Linked DNA regions of Oryctolagus cuniculus. The protein of the gene in region 1 interacts with the protein of each later gene in a biochemical or structural test. Links are inferred from orthologs where the notes say so. Each region holds a gene or a part of one and is shown in the gene's direction. Other genes may lie near its edges.

Evidence for each region. The genes of interacting proteins can lie anywhere in the genome.
Region 2: the proteins of SMAD2 (region 1) and ZFYVE9 are reported together in a solved structure, tested with the Homo sapiens proteins (2 studies listed by BioGRID and IntAct, with this or other methods). The link is inferred for Oryctolagus cuniculus from reciprocal best matches to the Homo sapiens genes SMAD2 and ZFYVE9.
Region 3: the proteins of SMAD2 (region 1) and SKI form a complex in vitro, tested with the Homo sapiens proteins (4 studies listed by BioGRID). The link is inferred for Oryctolagus cuniculus from reciprocal best matches to the Homo sapiens genes SMAD2 and SKI.

Annotation. Positions count from the first base shown.
Region 1 is NC_091441.1:29,770,427-29,778,349, forward strand, and holds the start of SMAD2 (mothers against decapentaplegic homolog 2), read left to right. Parts: upstream 1-2,830; 5' UTR 2,831-3,079; intron 3,080-3,297; exon of another isoform or gene 3,298-3,716; intron 3,717-3,829; exon of another isoform or gene 3,830-4,053; intron 4,054-4,151; exon of another isoform or gene 4,152-4,302; intron 4,303-5,738; exon of another isoform or gene 5,739-5,811; intron 5,812-7,923. UniProt on the Homo sapiens protein: Receptor-regulated SMAD (R-SMAD) that is an intracellular signal transducer and transcriptional modulator activated by TGF-beta (transforming growth factor) and activin type 1 receptor kinases.
Region 2 is NC_091438.1:120,589,016-120,595,354, reverse strand, and holds the end of ZFYVE9 (zinc finger FYVE domain-containing protein 9), read left to right. Parts: intron 1-1,011; coding exon 1,012-1,117; intron 1,118-3,449; coding exon 3,450-3,626; intron 3,627-5,456; coding exon 5,457-5,618; 3' UTR 5,619-6,026; downstream 6,027-6,339. UniProt on the Homo sapiens protein: Early endosomal protein that functions to recruit SMAD2/SMAD3 to intracellular membranes and to the TGF-beta receptor.
Region 3 is NC_091438.1:163,608,741-163,615,153, reverse strand, and holds the end of SKI (ski oncogene), read left to right. Parts: intron 1-872; coding exon 873-995; intron 996-1,241; coding exon 1,242-1,354; intron 1,355-1,618; coding exon 1,619-1,878; intron 1,879-1,970; coding exon 1,971-2,245; intron 2,246-2,991; coding exon 2,992-3,222; intron 3,223-3,333; coding exon 3,334-3,516; 3' UTR 3,517-6,174; downstream 6,175-6,413. UniProt on the Homo sapiens protein: May play a role in terminal differentiation of skeletal muscle cells but not in the determination of cells to the myogenic lineage. Functions as a repressor of TGF-beta signaling.

The DNA of each region.
Region 1 (7,923 bases):
CCTTCCAGGAGCAACCATGATTATCATTTTTCTGATGTGTCTTTCTATCACACTGAACTCCTTTTTTTCCCTCCTGAACTGATTCAGATTCTATGGGCTTTGCAATGTCATGTGTAATGAAGGGTTAAACTTGGTGTTGTCCATATAAAAATAAGACTCGCTCAGTATAATGTATACGATAGGGACCTACTGATAGATCTTGAGGAACCCTAGTGGATTTCCAAGCCGATTGTTGCCATGGCAATCACTGCTCTACGTGCCTTCAGTTTCTGTCCTGACCCACTTTGGTTTAGATGCATTTCTAACAGAGGGGACAGCAGACACGCTCTCATTTCTAAGCCATTTGGGGACTACATTGGTAGCCTCTCCTTTCCCCAATCTTACAGATTCTGGAAGGCTTCCTAAATGGAAGAATTAAGGACCCGGAGTCTGATACTTTGAAGAGATGGTCTAAGTGAGACTTCAGACATATTGCCTATTGAATTGTAAAAAATATATAAAAATATGAAGAATAATCTTCTCAGGGTGGGCAGTTGGCCTGAGTTAAAATGCCAGTGTGAAAATACTGCACCCCATACTGGAGCATCTGGGTTTGATTCCTGGCTCCAGCTCCTGACTCCAGCTTCCTGCTAATGCAGGGTTCCTGTCAGCCACGTGGGAGACCCTGATGGAGTTCCTGGCTCCCAGCTTTGACCTGGCCTGGCCCAGTCCCAATCATGGTGGGCATTTTAGGAGAGAACTGCAGATGGGAGTGTTCTGCCTCTCAAATAAGTAAATGAATTTAACAAAATCTGCTTGAATTACACTAGGAACAGATTCTCCCGGAATCCCAGCCATTCCTGCTTCTGCTCCTACTCCCACTACCCGGGTGGACACCCAATGCGATAGGAGAAAATATTTGTGTGCCAGGGCCATTATTTATATGCCATTTCATAGCAGGTAAAATTGTCGACTTGCATTAGCAGGAACAAGGAGCCAAACCCAAGAATGGGCTCTGCCCTCCATGGTCCTTCTTGACGGTTCTGGAGCATGGAAGCAGGAGGCCCGGAGGTGGGTTCCTGGCTCTCTTTCTCAAGCCCCTTTTAAAAAGTTGTAAGAGCTGCCTCCAAACTGACAATGCAATAACCTCACAAGAAAACTGTTTAAGGAAGAATTTCTGCTGAGTAGGTTCATCTTAGCCTAGATGTCTGCAAAGCACTGACTTTCCTTTAACTTCAAAGCCCTGTGCTATCTGCTTTTTTTTTTTTTTTGACAGGCAGAGTGGACAGTGAGACAGACCGAGAGAAAGGTCTTCCTTTTGCCGTTGGTTCACCCTCCAATGGCCGCCGCGGCCTGCGCACCGCGCTGATCCGATGGCAGGGGCCAGGTACTTCTCCTGGTCTCCCTTGGGCCATCCTCCACTGCCTTCCCTGGCCACAGCAGAGAGCTGGCCTGGAAGAGGGGCAACCGGGACAGAATCCGGCACCCCGACCGGGACTAGAACCTGGTGTGCCGGCGCCGCAAGGCAGAGGATTAGCCTAGTGAGCCTCGGCGCCAGCCGCTATCTGCTTTCATAATTTTAATGAAGCATTGCACAACTGTTTACAAGCAGGCATCATTGCAGGTGAGTTCCACTGGCCAAATGACCACAGATCGGGGGACCTGCCAGCCGAGTCCAAATCTGCAATCTCCCTGGCTCCAGGGTTCGTGCTCCTCACTCCAGCTTTCCAGGGGAAACGTTCTTGGTGTTTGAGGAGCAGGATGGCAGAAATGAAGGGCAGTTTGCAAGGGCATCTGGGAAACCCGAGAGATTGTGGGAAGGTCAGTTCTCTCTCAAGGTGCATCTGAAGACACCCTCCTCTGGGATGCCCCGTTTTTTGAGAAAAGAGGAGTATATGTCAAACACTTGTTTCAAATGCTCACTTAGTACTTCCTGATTACTGACTTGTATTGCTACAGTAGCTTGTTTCTCTAGAGTCTCCAATTATGTTAGAAAGGACGGACCACGAGAGGATGAGGCTGGACATCCAGCCAAGCAAACTCCTGTTCCTGCCACCAGCTACCTGTGTGAGCTCAGTTTCTGTTCAACTTCAGTCCTATGGGATTCACTGCCCAACTAGTTTTTTTTTTTTTTTAAAGATTAATTCATCTGGAAGTCAGAGTTATGGACAGAAAAAGTGGAGACAGATCGTCTATCTGCTGGTTCACTCCCCAGAGGGTCACAAGGAAGCCAGGAGCGTCATCCAGGTCTCCCACGTGGGTGGCAGGGGCCCAAGCACGCAGGCCAACTTCAGTTGCTTTTCCCAGGCCATTAGCAGGGATGTCGGTGGGAAGTGGAGCAGTCTGGACTCGAACTGGCACCCATTTGGGATGCCAGCCTCGAAGGTAGCAGCTTTACTTCCTAGGCCGCTAAGCCACAAAGCTGGCCCCACTAGTAGGGTCTTAAGAAATCCTTCGCGTGATTAGTTGGGCTCAACAGTTCTTAGGGGCTTGCGTGCCCCCAAGATAAAACCAAGAAAACTGCGCCTAAGTGTTGTGCGTGCTTGGGCAGTTTAGGGCCTTGCTGCCTCCAACAGGGGCCAAGGAACACTGCCCGCACGGGGACCAAAGAGCAAGGGGAGACAAACTAGCAGTCAAGGGGCAGTGCGCCGGGTGCTCATCTTCCAGACTCCGCAAGGACCAATCTGCACGTGCATTACCAATGTCATTTTTACTAACGGGGGGCCCAAGGTTCAGGTTTAACAAAAGTACCCAGTATCTCCTACCCGGACCCCAAAAGCACAGAACGGATCTCGGGCCCGCCCCCCCACCCCCCGGCGCCCCGCACGAAGGCCCCGCCCACAGCCCGCTCATCTGCATACGGGCGCGGCCAGCCGCCGGCCTGGTACCCGGGCTTCCGCAGGACCCTCTCGCTGGCCGAGGCGCGTCCCCTCCTCTGGGGCAGGCCAGCGGCCTCCCGGGAGAGGAGCACGTGCAAGCTCTCGGCTTCAGGACGGAGCGTGAACTGGCCGTCAGTCTCCCACAGACGCTACCCAGCAGCGCTGGCGAGGGGTCAGGGAGGGCCCGGGGCCGCCGGAGATCGTCACCCCGGCCCTGTGGGGTACGGCTCTTTCCCGCCCCTCCCCGCCCCTGAGCGCGCCGACGACCAACTCGAGCGAAACCGCGGCCGTCCCACCCCGCCCGGCCGCGCCGCGCCTCGCCTCACGCTCGACGGGGGAGGCGGGACCAATCAGCGAACGACGTCTCCCTTCCGATTCGAGGCCCCCGACGCGCGGCTCACACCCCGAGCTCCCCGCGCGCTGATTGGCTGCGCGCGCCGCCGGTCCGGCCGGGAGGCGGGGCGGGCCGAAGGCAAAGGGAGGTGGGAGGCGGTGGCCCGCGACTCCCCGCGTCCCGCTCGCCCCCTGGCCCTTCCCGCGGCGCTCGGCCTCCTTCCTTCCCTCCTCCGCTCCCTCCGTCTTCCGTGCGCGCCCCGCGCGGCGCTCGGCCGGCGTGCCTCGCGCCCTAACGGGCGGCTGGGGGCGCCAATCAGCGGGAGGCAGGGTGCCAGCCCCGGGGCTGCGCCGGCGAATCGGCGGGGCTCGCGGCCCGGGGTGGGAGGCGGGTCTACCCGCGCGGCCGCGGCGGCGGAGGAGCAGCTCGCCAGCCTGCAGCCCGCGAGCGCCGAGCGAGCCGCCCAGAGGTGGGTGCGCTGCGCCGCGGCGGCCGGCGGCCGAGGGCGGAGGGCGGAAGCGGAGGTGGGCCGGCGGGGGCGGGCGCGGGCGCCGGGAGGGGCGGCGGGCGCGCGCCGGTGGGGAGGAGGGGCGGCGGCGGCGGCGGGGCGCGCGCGTCCCCACCCCCTCCTGCCTGCGGGCGGTGGCCGGGCCCCCACCCTGGCCGCGAGGCGGGGCGCCCGGCCGGGCACGGGCCTGGGGGCGGGGCGCGGGGACGGCGCCGAGAGTGTTCTCAGTTCCGCCTCCCTTCTCCCGTTCCCTTCTCGGCCTCCCAGCTCCCTCCATCCCATCGGAAGAGGACGGAACAAAAGGTCCCGGGCCCCCCGGCTCTGACGGGGCGGGACCTGGCGCCTCGGCGCAGGTACGGCCCGGGCGCCGCGGGCCGCGGGCGAGGGGTGTGTTTGCGTGCGGCGGCGGCCGGGGCCGCTGGCGGGGTCACATGGCTCCGGCGGGGTGGGGGCTGGGGTGGGGCGAGATCGGGGCCGTGGGCGCGCCGGCCGCGGGCGGGTCGCCGGCGCCGCACGCTCGGTGGGTTGTGGCTGTGGTCGCTCCAGCCCGAGGGCCGGAGCTCGGGTTGCGGGAGTTGTCGGGAGCGCGTGAGGAGCGGCTGGTACTTTGCTTCCACTTTTTGTCGTGTGGTGCTGTAACCTTTGTTAACCGTGAGAGCCGCGGGCTGCGAGGGGCGGTGTGCGCTCTCGAACGCGCGCAGGCTGCGGCTCGGCCCGGCAAAGTTGCTCCCGGAGCCGGCCTGCTCGGCGCCCTCGCCTTCCGCGGGCTGCAGACTGGCCGCACGCAGTCGCAGCTCGGATCCCTGCCTTCTCTGGCGGGACCTGCCCGTGGGTCAGGCGCTTGTCTGTCTGTCTCGTTACTTACAAACCCTTGTTTGATCCAAGACGCGAGAAAAACGTGATCTAGGTTGCTTTTGGTGTTTTCCTTTGGACCCTTGAAAAGCTAAATACCGCCCGCTCGTCGCCTACCAAACCTTTGTTTTTTTTTGAAAAGCCTGCAGGTGGGACGGATTGGGAAGTTGTGCTTCTAACAGGCATTCTTGTTTGCTACGGTGTGGAATATCGACTTGGTATTCCAAACTTGTGTAAAATGCCATTTGTAAAGTTATTGTTAGTAGACGGTCAGGTAAACTGCTTTGGAGTAATTCTGTCTTTTCAGAAGTTCCTGACATGAATTAAGGTTGAAAAAAAATTTTTTTTTGTTATTTTCTTCTAATTTCACATAAGTTGAACCTGTACCACTGATAAGGATGCGTTCCTTGGGTCTGATGGAGTAAATTTGCTGTTACTGTACAGAAAGTACACAGGCTGTTCTACTTTCGACCTCAGTTTTAAAAGTTCTCGTCTGGTGGAGAGCTGTTAGTCAGATAGTTAAATGAGGTTTGAACTGCTTGGTACACGGATTAGTGAGGCAAATGTATCAGTGATGGAAGGAATGTAAAACGTGTTTCATCAGTGTATCGTGGTGAGGGTTTTTTCATTTGCCTTAAAACCCCTACCTAGGGTATTTTGAGAATTCCCTTCCCTAGAAAGTCATGTGGCAGACGTTTGTATTAAATTCTGAAACACAGCGGTTTTGTTTTTAAGATTTCTTAGTTTTCACATAAACGTAGCTGTGTTGGTAAATATAAACAGTTGATGTGTTTGAACATTGCTAAAGCAAGTGCCCGCTTACCCTCTCGCAGTTGAAATCCGCATTTCATTGCGTTTAAGTGTTGGCTGTGTTTAATGTAACGAGCTTGGAAAGTCCGTTTCTGGGGGTGTTTTAGTAAGAAACTGCTCTTCGGAAGAGCGTGCTTTTTCTACGTTCACCTTCCAGTGTGGTTTTGAATTTTAGGTGTTCAACAAAAAATTGGGTTTTTCAAGGTTGTAACCTACCAGTGCTTAGTCATAAGAGGTTAATTTTCTACACAATCGGTAATGAAATAATAGTCTTGTAAGAAATTGTGCAGGGTGATTTCCTGTTTGTGGTTTGTCAGCCTTGGTATGTGTTTTAACTCCTAGGTGGGAATATTGGGGCTGGATTTTTGTATTTCAGCACAAGTTGTGTTTAATAGGAAGAGGTGGTTTCTACTTCAAGATGTCAAGAGGCCCCCTTGCATTTTTATATTGTAAGTACTAGAATCACGGTGTTGAAATATTACTGCTTCACAGTAGGGGGAAATGCATGAGTGGGAATTAACACACTCCGTTTAGCTGCTGGTCAGAGACTTGTTGAATTTTTACATTTTGTAAATTGTCAGTTTTGACTTGGAAGCCTAGAAAGTTTTTCTTACGCTTGTTTGGTTTTGACTGTGCTTTAGGACCCCCAAAACTTAATTTTCTGGCAGTTTTTTAAAATTTTTTAATTTATTTATTTGACAGGTAGAGTTATAGACAGTGAGAAAGGCCTTCCTTCCGTTGGTTCACTCCCCAAATGGCCTCTATGGCTGGCGCTGTGCCGATCCGAAGCCAGGAGCCAGGTGCCGCCTCCTGGTCTCTCATGTAGGTACAGGGGCCCAAGCACTTGGGCCGTCCTCCACTGCCCTCCCGTGCCACAACAGAGAGCTGGACCGGAAGAGGAGCAACCAGGACTAGAACCCGGCGCCCACATGGGATGCCAGCTCCGCAGGTGGAGGATTAACCAAGTGAGCCACTGCGCCGGCCCCTCTGGCAGCTTTAAATACAAGTGGATTTTGTGGTGTATGTAAAAGCCGTATTTAGAGCATTCTGGCAGATAGAGGTTTATTCATATTTTGGAAACGAGTTTTTAGAGGATGAAGGGAGACTTGTTTTGATGGGCGCAGAGGAGCCATTTTTAGGCCCGCAGTTTCTGTAAAAGCAAGGTGGTTTTCCACTAAATATTACAAGAGTATATCAGAAAATGTGAAATGTAGGGACCCTTGGCGACGCCCACACCCCATATCTCAGTGCCAGTGTGCCTGGGAAGGCAGCAGGTGATAGCGCAGGTACTTGTGTCTCTGCCACCCAGCTGGTCTTCCAGGCTCCTGGCTTTGGCCTGGCCCAGCCTGAGACATTTGGAGAGTGAACCAGCAGATGGAAGATCTTTCTGTCTCCTTCCCTGTCACTCTGCTGTTCAAAGAAATGATTTAAAAAAAAAAATGATTTATTTAATTATTTTTTGAAAGGCAGAGTGACAGAGGCAGAGAGATCAATCTTGCATCCACTGGTTCACTCCCCAAATGGCCGCAAGGACCGGGGCTGGGCCGATCCAAAGCCAGGAGCCAGGAGCTTCTTCCGGGTCTCGCATGTGTTCTCTCAAGCACCTGGGCCATCTTCTGCTTTCCCGGGCCATAGCAAAGAGCTGGATTGGAAGTGGAGCAGCCAGTGCTTGAACCGGCACCCATATGGCATGCCGGCACTCAGGCGGCAGCCTCACCAGCTATGCCACAGTGCTGGCCCCCAAATAAATCTTTTTTCTTCTTTTTTAAAGATTTATTTATTTATTTGAAAGTTACACAGAGAGAGGAGAGACAGAGAAAGAGGTCTTCCGTCCGCTGGTTCACTGCTGATACACCATAGCACCGGCCCCAAAAAAATAAATCTCAAAAATGTGAAGTAGGGACCAGCGCTGTGACACAGCAGGTTAAAGCCCTGGTCTGCAATGCTGGCATCCCATATGGGCACTGGTTTGAGTCCTGGCTGCTCCACTTCCGATCCAGCTCTCTGCTATGGTCTGGGAAAGCAGTAGAAGATGGCCCAAGTCCTTGGGCCCCTGTGGGAGGCCTGGAAGAAGCTCCTGGCTTCGGATCGGCACAACTCCGGCCGTTGTGGCCATCTGGAGAGTGAACCAGCAGATGGAAGACCTTTCTCTCTCTCTGCCTCTCTGTAACTCTTTCAAATAAATAAATAAATCTTTATTAAATAAATGAGGTGTAAGGAATTTAAAACTGGTTTAGGAGAGGTTATGCATTACTTGAACAACTTGTATTTGTGGACAAGTCACATTTATTCAATGGTTTTTTTCTGTGTCTCAGACTGTGGGCTAGCAATAAAGTGTTTCACAGCAAATCATTACATCCCTGTTCCTTAATGCAATTAGGACAGTGGACACTTGATGTTTTCTGCCCCATTCCCTAGTGTTTGAGTAAGATAGTGTACTAAGTGTGGGAGCACACGATGCCTGCGGCAGTGAGCTCACGGTGCTCTCTGTGCTTTGGACAAGAGGGTACTGGAGAAGATGTGTAGTGTGAACTCATGGGATCACTGGAGCAGCCACTGTG
Region 2 (6,339 bases), on another chromosome or scaffold:
GCTGGGCCAGGGCTGAAGCTGGGAGCTGGAATTACTATTCATTCTCCCAGGTGAATGGCAGGAGCCCAATTACTTGAGCCATCACCTGCTGCCTCCCTGTGTCTGCATTAGCAGGAATCTATAGCCCAGTTCTTCCAATGTGATATGTGTCTTAACTTCTAGGCTAACCACTGGTCCCTCAAATAATTCTTAATGAACATTCAGTAACCTCCCAATTTCTAAGCAGTAGGTGAGTACTAGGAATAGAGCACACAGAGGTAAATATATCATATTCTCCACCATTCAGATATGCAAAAATATGGAGTATAACATGAGTATCATTATATCCCAGGACCATAATAGAGAACAAGATTGGGTGAGTGACCTTGGGTTCACTGCAAGAAGGACTGTAGGGAGAGGAGATTTGATTGAACACTTTGTTCACATTAAAGAGAAGCAGCTCTTAGGAAAGGGCCAGCGCCGCTGCTCACTAGGCTAATCTTCCACCTTGTGGCGCCAGCACACTGGGTTCTAGTCCCGGTCGGGGCACCAGATTCTGTCCCGGTTGCCCCTCTTCCAGGCCAGCTCTCTGCTGTGGCCAGGGAGTGCAGTGGAGGATGGCCCAAGTGCTTGGGTCCTGCACCCCATGGGAGACCAGGAGAAGCACCTGGCTCCTGCCTTCGGATCAGCGTGATGCACCGGCCGCGGCGGCCATTGGAGGGTGAACCAACGGCAAAGGAAGACCTTTGTCTCTCTCTCACTGTCCACTCTGCCTGTTAAAAAAAAATACATATATATAAAGGAAAGGGCCTTCTTCTTGAGGGCACACATGTGTTCTTTGACTCATATTTCAGCGCTTAGGCTCTTTGCATGAGAGCTCTGCTCATGTACATTTTTGTATGTCATCTTGTTGTGATGTGCTGCACAGTTGAGTTCAGCAAGGAATCCAGTGTAATGAGCAGCAAGACGTGATAAGAGAAATGGCTCCTCTAAATTAAAAAGTTGCTTCTCTTTCCTTTGCCTTTACTTCAGTGTCATAAGTCCGATAGATGGGAAGTCCATGGAGTCTATAACAAATGTGAAGATATTTCATGGATCAGAGTATAAAGCAAATGGAAAAGTCATCAGATGGACAGAGGTAAGGAAATGAAACCTCACACCCTTGACCTACTTTGAGCACAAGTTTTTGCTAGGCCAAGGGCCCATTCTGGGAAGATTCTGGAGGATTAAAAAAATAAAATCTATATTTACTTTTATACTCCACTTTACTCTGGTCTTAGATCACTGGGAAGAAATGCCACCAAATACAGCTTTCAGCATTCCCAGGTGTGCTGCTTCTCGGAAACTAGCTTTTAGAGGTTGATCTGTGTTGAAATTCAAGAAGGGTGCATCTCTGAATGGTTTGCTGTATTCACCATAAATTGGGTTGGTTTTGTTGCACTTAAAGTTAGAACTCTCTTGGATAAGTAACACAATCCTAAATAGATTGATTTTGCCAATAAGAAAATAAACTTCTGAGACTAGGTCACATGTCAAATATTACAAGGCAAGTAAAATAATGCAAAAATCCTAATTCACACCCAGATCTGGCAAACTCCAAAGCTGTTTTCTACTAAACTAAATGGCTCCTTAACTCAAAAGCTGTATTAGAGGCTAACCTGAGCCAGAGTATGTTTACAGAGCGAACAGATAGAGCCTTAATCTCTTTGTTGCTTTTGAGCTTCATATATACTCATCTATAAAATAAATGATTGAATAATAAGATCTCTAGGCATCCTTTAAACTTTAAAATTTTAATTCTTTCTGAAAAGGCTGTGACTTCTAGCTTTTCTATTTTACACACAGGAAGTTGAGACCAAAAGAGATGAAAGTATCTTATCCAGATTCACAAAGCTGGTCCCTGATACACAGGGACTGGGACCCAGCTCTCTAGGTCTTGAGCTGGTGTTTCAGTGACCCTTCCTTCATACCAGGCCCCATGTTTTCATATGCAGTTTGGTGATTTTAGCTGCTTGGTTTGTAATGGTTGCTCCTTTGACACATTTTGATCAGGGCAGTCTAGAACATGCAAAATTCTTTTTAGCTTATAAACTAGTTTGATCTCTGCTCCCTCCATTTTGCTCTCCAATAACTCAGTGAGGTAGGCAGTCTAGTCATCCCATTATGCAAATGAGAAAACAGGCTGAGACTGTGTGGCTTTGTAACTTTCTGGCAGAACAGGGCCCACAGCACCTGTCTGTGGACTCCCAATCCAGAACTCTTTCCATCATTTCACGCTGCTGCTCTCACCTGTGCATCCAGGCACAGGGCCTCAGAGCTGCTTCCTTGATAGCATTCTCAGGATGAGCCCCTTACTGAGCAGTAAGCTAGAGGTTGGTGTATATAAACATTGTGTATTTGCAGTTCTCTTTTGTATTTTCGCCATTATAATTTTTAACTTCAAACAACCAGAGAGCACATGTGCTTTGCATTTGCCATCTAGAGGCAAACTAGATGTTAAGAAGCCCTTTCCTTTCCTTTAGTCTTTGGATTATTCAGCACCCTTTGTCTGTGTGACTGGTATTGGAGTCTCCCATCTCCAGTCTGCTAAGCTTCCGCTTGTGCACAGTGCAGTGCTTGCTCTCTGTGAACGCAGACAGCTCTGGCCTCCACAGTGGCAGGGCCTTGTGGGAAAAAGCTCTGCCTGCAACGAGAGGTGGAAGACTCAGATTCTGGGCTTAGTTCTGCCTCTCAGTACTTCTCTGCACTTGAGCCGGTCAGTGAGTAAACTAAAATGAAGGGGCTGGATCACATCATCTATGAAGTCTATTCTCTTAAGAGCCTAAGATCATTTCCTAGGAAAATTGTCTACAAATGGGGATTACCTTTTAGAAGCACACAGTGCAAAATGAAGTCCTTTTCTGATTCTGAGTACAATATAATATGATAACCATGGCAGAGTCATGGAAAGAGAGGCAGGGATTGTTTGTTTTTTTTTTTTTTTAATTTATTTTATTTATTTGAAAGGCAGAGTTAGAGAGGAAGAGACAGCGAGAAAAGTCTTCCATCTGCTGGCTCATTCCCCAAATGGCCGCAATGACCAGGGCATGGCCAGGCTAAAGCCAGGAGCTAGGAGCTTTCTCCATTTCTCCCATATGGGTACAGGGATCCAAACACTTGGGCCAACCTCCACTGCTTTCCCAGGTGCATTAGCAGGGAGTTGGATTGGAAGTGGAGCAGCTGGGATTGAAACTGGCACCCATATGAGATGCTGGCGTCAGCCTTACTTAGTCCACCACAGTGCTGGCCTCCAGGGATTGTTTCTCAAGCGTTAAGACATCAGTGCCCTATTTTCCTGGCCCAAGGACCATGGTGTCCTGAGATCTTACACATCTTCAAGAATCAGGGTGTTCATATACAGTAAACTAATGCTCTTGTTTCTTCCAAAATTTAGGTAGTGTTAAAAATCTTTTTTTTGGGGGGGGTGGCAGGTGTTTTTTCTAGAAAATGATGACCAGCACAATTGCCTAAGTGATCCTGCAGATCATAGCAGATTGACGGAACACGTTGCCAAGGCTTTCTGCCTCGCTCTCTGTCCCCACCTGAAGCTTCTGAAGGAAGATGGAATGACAAAACTGGGATTACGTGTGACGCTTGACTCAGACCAGGTAAGAAGTTGAAGCCGGCCTTGGGGGTAGTGTCTGTATTTTCTGCCTTCTGAGTTTTCTTGCCACAATCCAGGAAGCTGAATCTTCCAGACCTCCTGCCTGACCAGATGTAGTATTCTGGCTTTCTAAGAATATTAATATATCCCAATATGCTTGGTCACTCTCAGAATCATTTGAGCTGTGGCTTCATCATCTCCATGTCTCCAAGGAGTTGATTTCCTCCCTAATATGGAGCAGTACAGTGAGGACCTGTTGCCGCTGGAACCACCCCGTTCCCGCCATCAGGAAGCATTCAGCAGCGCTCCTTCAGAAGGCAGAGCCCAAGCTGTCCCTCACCCAGCTAGGGCAGGTTTCTGTGGACTGGACTCTGCAGCTGCCCAGGCCTTAAGGAGATATTTACCAGGCTAATTAGTGAATAAATAGGACTTGAGCTATTTCTGAATTAATTTTCCTGTCATTTTGGGTCTCCTGTTGCCAGGCTTCCCTCTCTGTCTCACTTAATTTTTTTATATGTTCTGTGTAGCACCAGTCCAGTCTCAGCCCTCCCTAGCTGTAGTTCCTTGTCCCAGTGTCTCTCCTGTGGCTAAGCACTCTGATCTCTCTGCATTTCTTTTGCATGTTGGATACCTGTGACTTATTCCATTGGTCCTGTTTTGATGTTTAAACATTGCTGTAGTTCTCCATCAACACTTTAGATTGGAGTCACTTAGAAAATGTGTAGACTCAGCTTGATCACCATTCCTAGCTGAGTATGAATTCTTTTTTTGGACAGGCAGAGTGGACAGTGAGAGAGACAGAGAGAAAGGTCTTCCTTTGCCATTGGTTCACCCTCCAATGGCCGCCTTGGCCGGCGCGCTGCGGCCGGCGCACCGCGCTGATCCGATGGCAGGAGCCAGGTGCTTTTCCTGGTCTCCCATGGGGTGCAGGGCCCAAGCACCTGGGCCATCCTCCACTGCACTCCCTGGCCACAGCAGAGAGCTGGCCTGGAAGAGGGGCAACCGGGACAGAATCCGGCGCCCCAACCGGGACTAGAACCCGGTGTGCCGGCGCCGCTAGGCGGAGGATTAGCCTAGTGAGCCGCGGCGCCAGCCTGAGTATGAATTCTACACAGCAAGCCGCTCCATCCTGAGTGCTTACAGGGAGAAGCTGGCTCGTGAATACAGAGTTGCGCTGTTAGGATGACAGGTTATGTGCCGGGCCCCATTTCCTGATGAGCCATCGGTCAACAAGTTTATTTTGTACTTGAGGTATTGCCTAGTGCTGTACGAAGCATGCCAGGGTAATACAAATGGCACATTCTTAAATGACACTGATAACCAGGCTGGAGACAGAGATTTCCCTTACATAAAACAGTTAAAGAACAGCATTTTTCTGCCAATTGAGTGAGCCTCTTGAAGGCAGGGGCCTGGTTCCATTCATCTTAGAATCCCTGTTTGTGGGTGCTAAGAAGATGGAACATGGATGAATGGAGGACTGAAGGGCAGATTCTCAGTTCCTGCTGTTAGGAGTTGTACTTTATGTATTTGATTTTAATTTTTACAACCAAAGGAAAGTAAGGCACTCTTTCTGACACTCCCCCTCTTTCTGCACAGCACCCCCTTTCCTAGAAACTAAGACCGCAGCAGGTTGAGAGACTTGCCCGAAATCTTAAGCTAAGTGATCAGGATTATTAAATGACAACTCAGGGAAGAGGAGAAATCTGTGTTCACCATTGTGTGTACAGCCCACGGCCAAGGACATCTCCTTTCCTGCTCAGCCTCTTTGACTCTGAACCCTCTGAAAAGATCGTCTCAGTCTAGTAACCTTCATCCCCTTCTCTCTGTGGTATAGGTTGGCTATCAAGCAGGGAGCAATGGCCAGCCCCTTCCCTCGCAATACATGAATGACCTGGACAGCGCCTTGGTGCCAGTGATCCATGGAGGGGCCTGCCAGCTCAGTGAGGGCCCCGTCGTCATGGAACTCATCTTTTATATTCTGGAAAACATTGCATAGACAGAGGACTTCGTTTTTTTCTGTTCATACCTGTTGCAACAGCAGTCACACCCAAATCATTTGCACTTTAAAACTGGAAGATTAAGCTTTTGTTAACACTATTAATTGGGGGAGGGGGGACGTAGGGGGGCATTAGGGAACAGGGGTGGGAAAGGATGGCTGGGGAAACTGTTCCATAATTCTAAGTCTTCTATGCATTGTCCACTAAGAAGACCTGGGCAGCTTCTACTCTACTGCACAACAGTTATGCTATCTTTGCAGCTAATCCCCTCTGTTACTGTTTAGACACAAATTCTGCTCCTCTCTTAAGATTTACTTATGGTCATGTGCTCAGAAATGCTCAAATGGGTACAACCATCACCAAGGGTGGGGTGGGAGGGCAGAGGGGAAATAAAAAATGAAGCATCATTTTTGCATTCTTTGTACACAATTGGTATAAGAAGGGGAATTCGACTCTGATATTGTCCCAGTTACATCACAGCTGTTTCTCAAGTAGAATCACACTTAGATTTTTGTTTCTTTTTAAACCAGGTTATTGCAATGAATTAAAGACCCAAAGGATTATGTACTCTCCCAGCCATGGCAAGACAACTCAGTGTGCATGAGGTCATTTGTATGGCAGAGCTGAATTCAGATCACTGGAGATCTGCCCAACTGAATTAAACTGGGCATTTCTGTGAAAGCTGATAGAGTATAATCAATATATTTTTAATTTCTATAA
Region 3 (6,413 bases), on another chromosome or scaffold:
CCTCGGGGGGGCTGTGCCCACTCTGGCCCCTGTGTGCCGGTCCCGCCCTGGCTCCCGATGCCTCTCCCCAGATTCAGGCCCCTGCGCCCGCCCCCAGGAGGACACGGTGGACAGGCCAGGCCCCCGGCCGCCCTGCGGGGCTCCCCGAGCCCAGCCAGGCCCAGCCGCGCTGACACTCCGCCCCCCGCCAAGTCTGACGTTTCTGGGAGGCCGCGGCATCTGTGGCTTCCTCGGTGAGCGCCGGGTGCACTTTCAGGCCTCCTCAGACAGGAAGCCCCACCCTGGCCGCGCTCACCTGGGCGGGGCCTGCGCGCAGCGCTGTTGGGAACGCTGTCCTTGGCCGGTCTGCCGGGGCTGCCCTCGAGGCCTTGGGCAGGGGCTGTGCACAAGGACTCTGGCCAGGGCGTCCCTGCCCCCACCCGGGGCCTTGGGGAGACGGGCTTCCTGCCGTTCCCTGCTCCCGGGAAGAGCCCTGGGCAGGCAGGACCAGCATGGCTCTCACTCCTAGGGGAGCCCAGGGCCTCGGTGGAGCTCGTCCACATCGCTCCAGAGCTGGACCCTCGGCTCCTGCTGGCTCTTGGGAGCCCCAGTCCTCAGCCTGGCTGCAGGGAGGGGCCACTTCCTGCCAGGGCCCCGCTTGAGAGCAACCCTGGCTCTAGGAAGGTGGTGTAGACACACAGGGACAGAGCCTGCTGCAGCTGTGGGGGGAGGTCACCCTGACCGCCTCACGCCGGCACGAAGCCTGGCTCTGGCCCTGAGCAGTGGGCTCCGTCTCATCTCACCGCTGGGTGCGCGGTGCCGTCCGGTCCTCCTCCGGGCAGCTTGCTCACCTGGGCCCCGGGCACCAACAGCGTCTTCTGTGTCCGTCACAGGTCTCCGAGCCTCCGGCCTCCGTAAGACCCAAAACAGACGACTCCTCTTCCCAGTCCCCTGCGTCTTCCGAGAAGGACAAGCCGTCCAGCTGGCTGCGGGCCCTGCCCAGCTCTTCCAGCAAGGTGCCGTGCGGGCTGTGGGAGCCCGGGGTTGGGTCCCAGGCCTCTGGGTTTGGTGGCAGCCACTGTGGCCATCTGGGGAGTGAGCCAGCAGATGGAAGACCTCTTTGTGTGCAGGCCCCCGGGGAGGGCCACTGGGCGGTTCTGGGAGTGGGCCCTGCCACTGGCTGCTGTGCCCGGCCTAGCCTCCAGGACACGGGGCAGCCTGTCCTTGCCCAGCGGCTCACACAGGCCACTCCTGTCCCACAGAGCCTCAGCTGTGTCCACCCTCGCCAGCGCCTCTCCGCGTTCCGACCCTGGTCCCCTGCGGTTTCAACTGAGAAAGAGCTGTCCCCGCACCTCCCAGCCCTGATCCGAGACAGGTGAGTGCCTGGGCCTGCGGCCTCTCGCCCAGCTGCCACACAGCGCCGGTTCATTTCCAGAGCCGTGTGGTCCTTGGGGGCCCCAGGGCGTGGCCTCCTGGTCCTCGAGGTCAGTCCCTGTTCCAGGCTTCCTGGACCCCCTGCCTGGCCACACAGACCTCCTGTCTGTGGCCTTCCGAGGGGTGTGTCCTGTGACCGTGGTGCCAGCGCGGGTGGGCTCAGGGCGGGTAGACAGCCACGGTCAGCTCACGCACACCCCCGCAGCTTCTACTCCTACAAGAGCTTCGAGACGGCCGTGGCCCCCAACGTGGCCCTCGCACCACCGCCCCAGAAGGTCGTGAGCAGCACACCATGTGCCACCGTCGTGTCCCGGGTGCCGGAGCCTCTCCCCACGTGCGTCCAGCCACGGAAGCGGAAGCTGGCAGGGGACACCCCCGGAGCCCCAGAGATGCCGGCGCCCGGCGCCGCCCCGGAGGAGGACAAGGACTCGGAGGCCGAGGTGGAGGTGGAGAGCAGAGAGGAATGTAAGTGTGAGGGGGCTTCCCGCCCGCGGGCCGGGCCGGGCGGTGCGGCGGGGCCTCCATGGGCGCCCGCTGACTGCTCCGTCTCTCCTCAGTCACCTCCTCCCCGTCCTTTGCCTCGTCCAGCTCCGCCAAGGACCTGAGCTCCCCGGGCGTGCGTGCCCCGCCCCCGGCCGCCCCAGACGCTGCGGCCCACGCCGACGCCCCGAGCGGGCTGGAGGCGGAGCTGGAGCACTTGCGGCAGGCCCTGGAGGGCGGCCTGGACACCAAGGAAGCCAAAGAGAAGTTCCTGCACGAGGTGGTCAAGATGCGGGTGAAGCAGGAGGAGAAGCTGAGCGCAGCCCTGCAGGCCCGGCGCAGCCTGCACCAGGTGAGGGCCCAGGCCCGCCCCTTCCTGGCCACCCCTGCACCGGGTGAGGGCCCAGGCCCGCCCCTTCCTGGCCACCCCTGCACCTTCCTGGCCACCCCCTGCACCGGGTGAGGGCCCAGGCCCGCCCCTTCCTGGCCACCCCTGCAGCGGGTGAGGGCCCAGGCCCGCCCCTTCCTGGCCACCCCTGCAGCGGGTGAGCACCCAGGCCCGCCCCTTCCTGGCCACCCCTGCACCAGGTGAGCGTCCAGACCCGCCCCTTCCTGGCCACCCCCTGCACCGTGGCTTCTGAGAGGCCCGCCCAGTGGCCCCACTTGCTGGGCCGGTGTGCACCATGGCAGAGTGTGTACAGTAGGTGTGTGTACACCCTGCGCACACACACACCTACACGCGTGCACCCGCCGCCTCTCCCAGGGCCCCGCGTGTCGTCTTCAGAGCCGGGGAGGCGGAGGCCCTGGCCTTGCTCGTTCTGGCCGCTCCCGAAGCTGCGTCTGGCAGCCCCCCCCCACGCCTCGGTAGGGACGGGGGCTCCCCGGCTGGGTCTGTGGCCGCCCAGCTTGGGGGAGCAGCAGCCAGAGGCCCCGCTGCGGCAGACATGGGACCCACGCAGGCCGCGTGGGGGGCTGGTGGCCGTCCGATCGGGACGGGGAGGGCGGCTGAGGGAGTGGCCCCGCTGCGTGGTCACGGCCGGGCGGGGGAGGGGCTGAGGGAGTGGCCCCGCTGCGTGGTCACGGGCCGGGTCTGCCCAGGAGCTGGAGTTCCTGCGCGTGGCCAAGAAGGAGAAGCTGCGGGAGGCCACGGAGGCCAAGCGCAGCCTGCGCAAGGAGATCGAGCGCCTGCGGGCGGAGAACGAGAGGAAGATGAAGGAGGCCAACGAGTCGCGGCTGCGCCTCAAGCGGGAGCTGGAGCAGGCGCGCCAGGCGCGGGTGTGCGACCAGGGCTGCGAGGCCGGCCGCCTGCGCGCCAAGTACTCGGCCCAGGTAGGCGACGGCCTGGCCGCCCCGCCCCGCCCCCTGCCCCGCCCCGCCCCGCCCCGCCCCGCCCCGGAGCCGTGTGCGGGCCGGCGCGGCTGACGGCGCTGTGCCTTCCAGATCGAGGACCTGCAGGTGAAGCTGCAGCACGCCGAGGCCGACCGGGAGCAGCTGCGGGCCGACCTGCTGCGGGAGCGCGAGGCGCGGGAGCACCTGGAGAAGGTGGTGCGGGGCCTGCAGGAGCAGCTGTGGCCGCAGCCCGAGCGCCCGGGCGGGGAGGGCACCGGCGAGCTGCAGCCCTGACCCCCAGCGGCGGGGCGCCCACCACGTCTTACTGTGCCTACTCCCGAGTGTCGCAGCCGCACTTGGCGTCCACGCGGGATTTACTGCCCAGGCCGGGGCGAGCCGGGGCGCGCGCACGCCGGCGGCCCGTGGCTGGCCCTCTGCTTGCTGGAACCGTCTAACATTTACACTTTTGTTATAAGCTATTTAAACCAATAAGGAGACTCGATGTTCAGAAAATCAACCTTTTTTAATGACTGCTTTTCAAAGCCCCAGCACGTGCCGCCGCCGCCGGGGAAGCCATCGCCGCTCATCTGTGCCCGCGGCCGCCGCGGCCTCGGAGGTTTCTTCAGTCTATTTTTTCAGCGACCGGGACCCGCGTCTCCCTGCCGCCCCCGGCAAGGGCAGGGGGAGAGCCGCGTGCGAGATGAGCCCACCCTGCCCGCCTTACCGCTGCCCGCCGCCGCCAGGAAGGGCAGAGCCACGCAGGGGCCGCCCGCCGCCCCGGCCGTCCTCGGCTCCCCAGGTGCTGGCCTGCGTGGGCCCGAGGCGTGGCCGGGCGCCCCCTGCCCCCGCTTCCTTGATTTGGGGACTGAGGCTGCAGCGTCAGAACAAAACACAGCATTACCCCCCCCCCCGCCCCATCCTCGTCGGAACCAGACACGGCATTACCCCCCCCCCCCCGGTCCTCGTCGGAACCAGACACGGCATTACCCCCCCCCCCCGGTCCTCGTCGGAACCAGACACGGCATTACCCCCCCCCCGGTCCTCGTCGGAACCAGACACGGCATTACCCCCCCCCCCGTCCTCGTCGGAACCAGACACGGCATTACCCCCCCCCCGGTCCTCGTCGGAACCAGACACGGCATTACCCCCCCCCCCGTCCTCGTCGGAACCAGACACGGCATTACCCCCCCCCCCCCGGTCCTCGTCGGAACCAGACACGGCGTTACCCCCCGCCCCGTCCTCGTCGGAACCAGACACGGCGTTACCCCCCGCCCCGTCCTCGTCGGAACCAGACACGGCGTTACCCGCGCCCCCGCCGGTGTGCGCCCGAGCGCCCGGCAGCTCCGCCCGCCGCCGCGTCGTCCCGGCCGTGCGCGAGGTTTCTCCGGTCCTGGAGCAGTGCCAGCCCTAAGCGCTCCCGTGCTCGGAACCCCTCTGGTGCTTGGTTGAACAAGGGAATCACAAGAAAACGAAAATGCAAAACTGAACTCCGGGGCCGCCCTGTGCCTTCCAGCGTCCTGCGCGGCGAGTCCTGACCGCGTCGCCCCGCGCGCCCCCGTCTCCGTGGCGATGGGAGCTGCCACGCAGATGAGTTAGCGCGTTGATTCCAGGTAGTGTCGTTGCTCTCGACTGTTTATGCAAATCGTAGACGGTTTCCTACGCCCAGGCTTGAAAAGTGGTTTCCCAGGAGACGAGCGGCCCGCCCCGCGGCCTCGGTATTTATTGAGTGCGGAAGATCGCGCGGGAATTCTTTGCTCGAATCCGAATCCGTTACAGCGCCGGCGGCGCCGCAGCAGAGACCAGGACGGCCGGCCCCCCGGCGGCGGAGTCTGCAGGGTCGGCCCTCGGTTTACCGCGGGGGCGCGGCCGCCGCCGCCCCCTCAAGTGCAATGCAAAATGGACATGGTGTATACGCAGCGTCTGTGTGGACGTTGTCCTTGGCTTCTGTCGTCCGTTCGCAGTCCCGGGGTCTGTAGGCACGGGACGCCCCTGCCGTAGGTCGCTCCACCACGGGCAGTAGCGCCGGCTCCGCCTTGTTCGCCAGAGTTGTGCTTTTCCGTCATTTCTTCAAGGGAAACTTAGTGGTTTAGTTGGAGCAAAGCTTTAATGTGTCGGCTTCCGCGTGGCTTCCGTGTCGCCAGGCCCGCCCGGGGCCGCCCGTGTCTTCTGTCGGGCGCCCCTTGGGGCCACGGGCCGGGCCGGCTGCCTCCCCAGCGTCGGGTGGCGCCTCTGCCCCCAGGGCCCTCGCCTCCCGCCCCTCCCTGCGGGGGGCGCCCGCGGGAGCCGGGGTGGGCTCCCTTCACCAGCAGCTCGCACTCGGGGCCCTGGCCTGGGCGGGGCGCCCGTCCTCCGGCCGCTCCAGCGCAGGGCCCGCGCCTGGCCCGCGGCCGGCCCAGCTGCGAGGACAGGCTGTTGACTCCCGTCCGTAAAACCCGTCATCCAGACAGCGCGTGTTCACTTTAATCCTCATGGTTTCTCTCGCGAGGAGGTTTTTAACGAAGGGAAAACCAACAGCAATAACCTTGATTCTCGAGCAGCTACCCCGGCGGCGCGGCCCGCAGCGCCGGCGGCCGCAGCCCTGTACAGACCCGCTCGGCGCCCTGTATCATACGTGTACATGGTGGTCCCTTCTCACCTGGTAATCGTCTGTTTTCTGGGTTGTTTTTAACAAGAAAAACGCTCACGTGCGGGGTCGGAGCTCCGCCCCGCCCCGCCCCGCCCGCGGGCTGTTTCTGTTCTTGCTTTAAGTCAGGAGTCACAAATGACATTTTTTTTCAATTAAGGAAAAAAAAAAAAAAAAGAACCCCCGGACCCTCGTAGCCACCTGCCCCCGCACCGCCCCGGACCTCTGCTGCTGCTAATGACAATACGACGCTTACTCTGCTACTCGAAGACTATTTTTATGTCATTAATGTATGCTTTCTTGTTTATAAATGCCTGATTTAAACAGAACCTGCCGGGCCTGTGTGTGTCCCTGGGGCCCCGGGCAGGGGGCGAGGACGGGGCCGCACCCCAGGCCTGCGGGGTCAGCTGGAGCTGGGAGGAGGCCTCCACGGGCACCACGGCTCCGAGAGCCACCCTCAGTCACGTCGGCACGTTGGAGGGTGGACCCCAGCGTGCCGCCCTGGCTGCCTGCCGAGGGTCCCAGGGGCCTGGCCACCGCCTCCCAGAGACTCCTCGGGCCGCCCGTG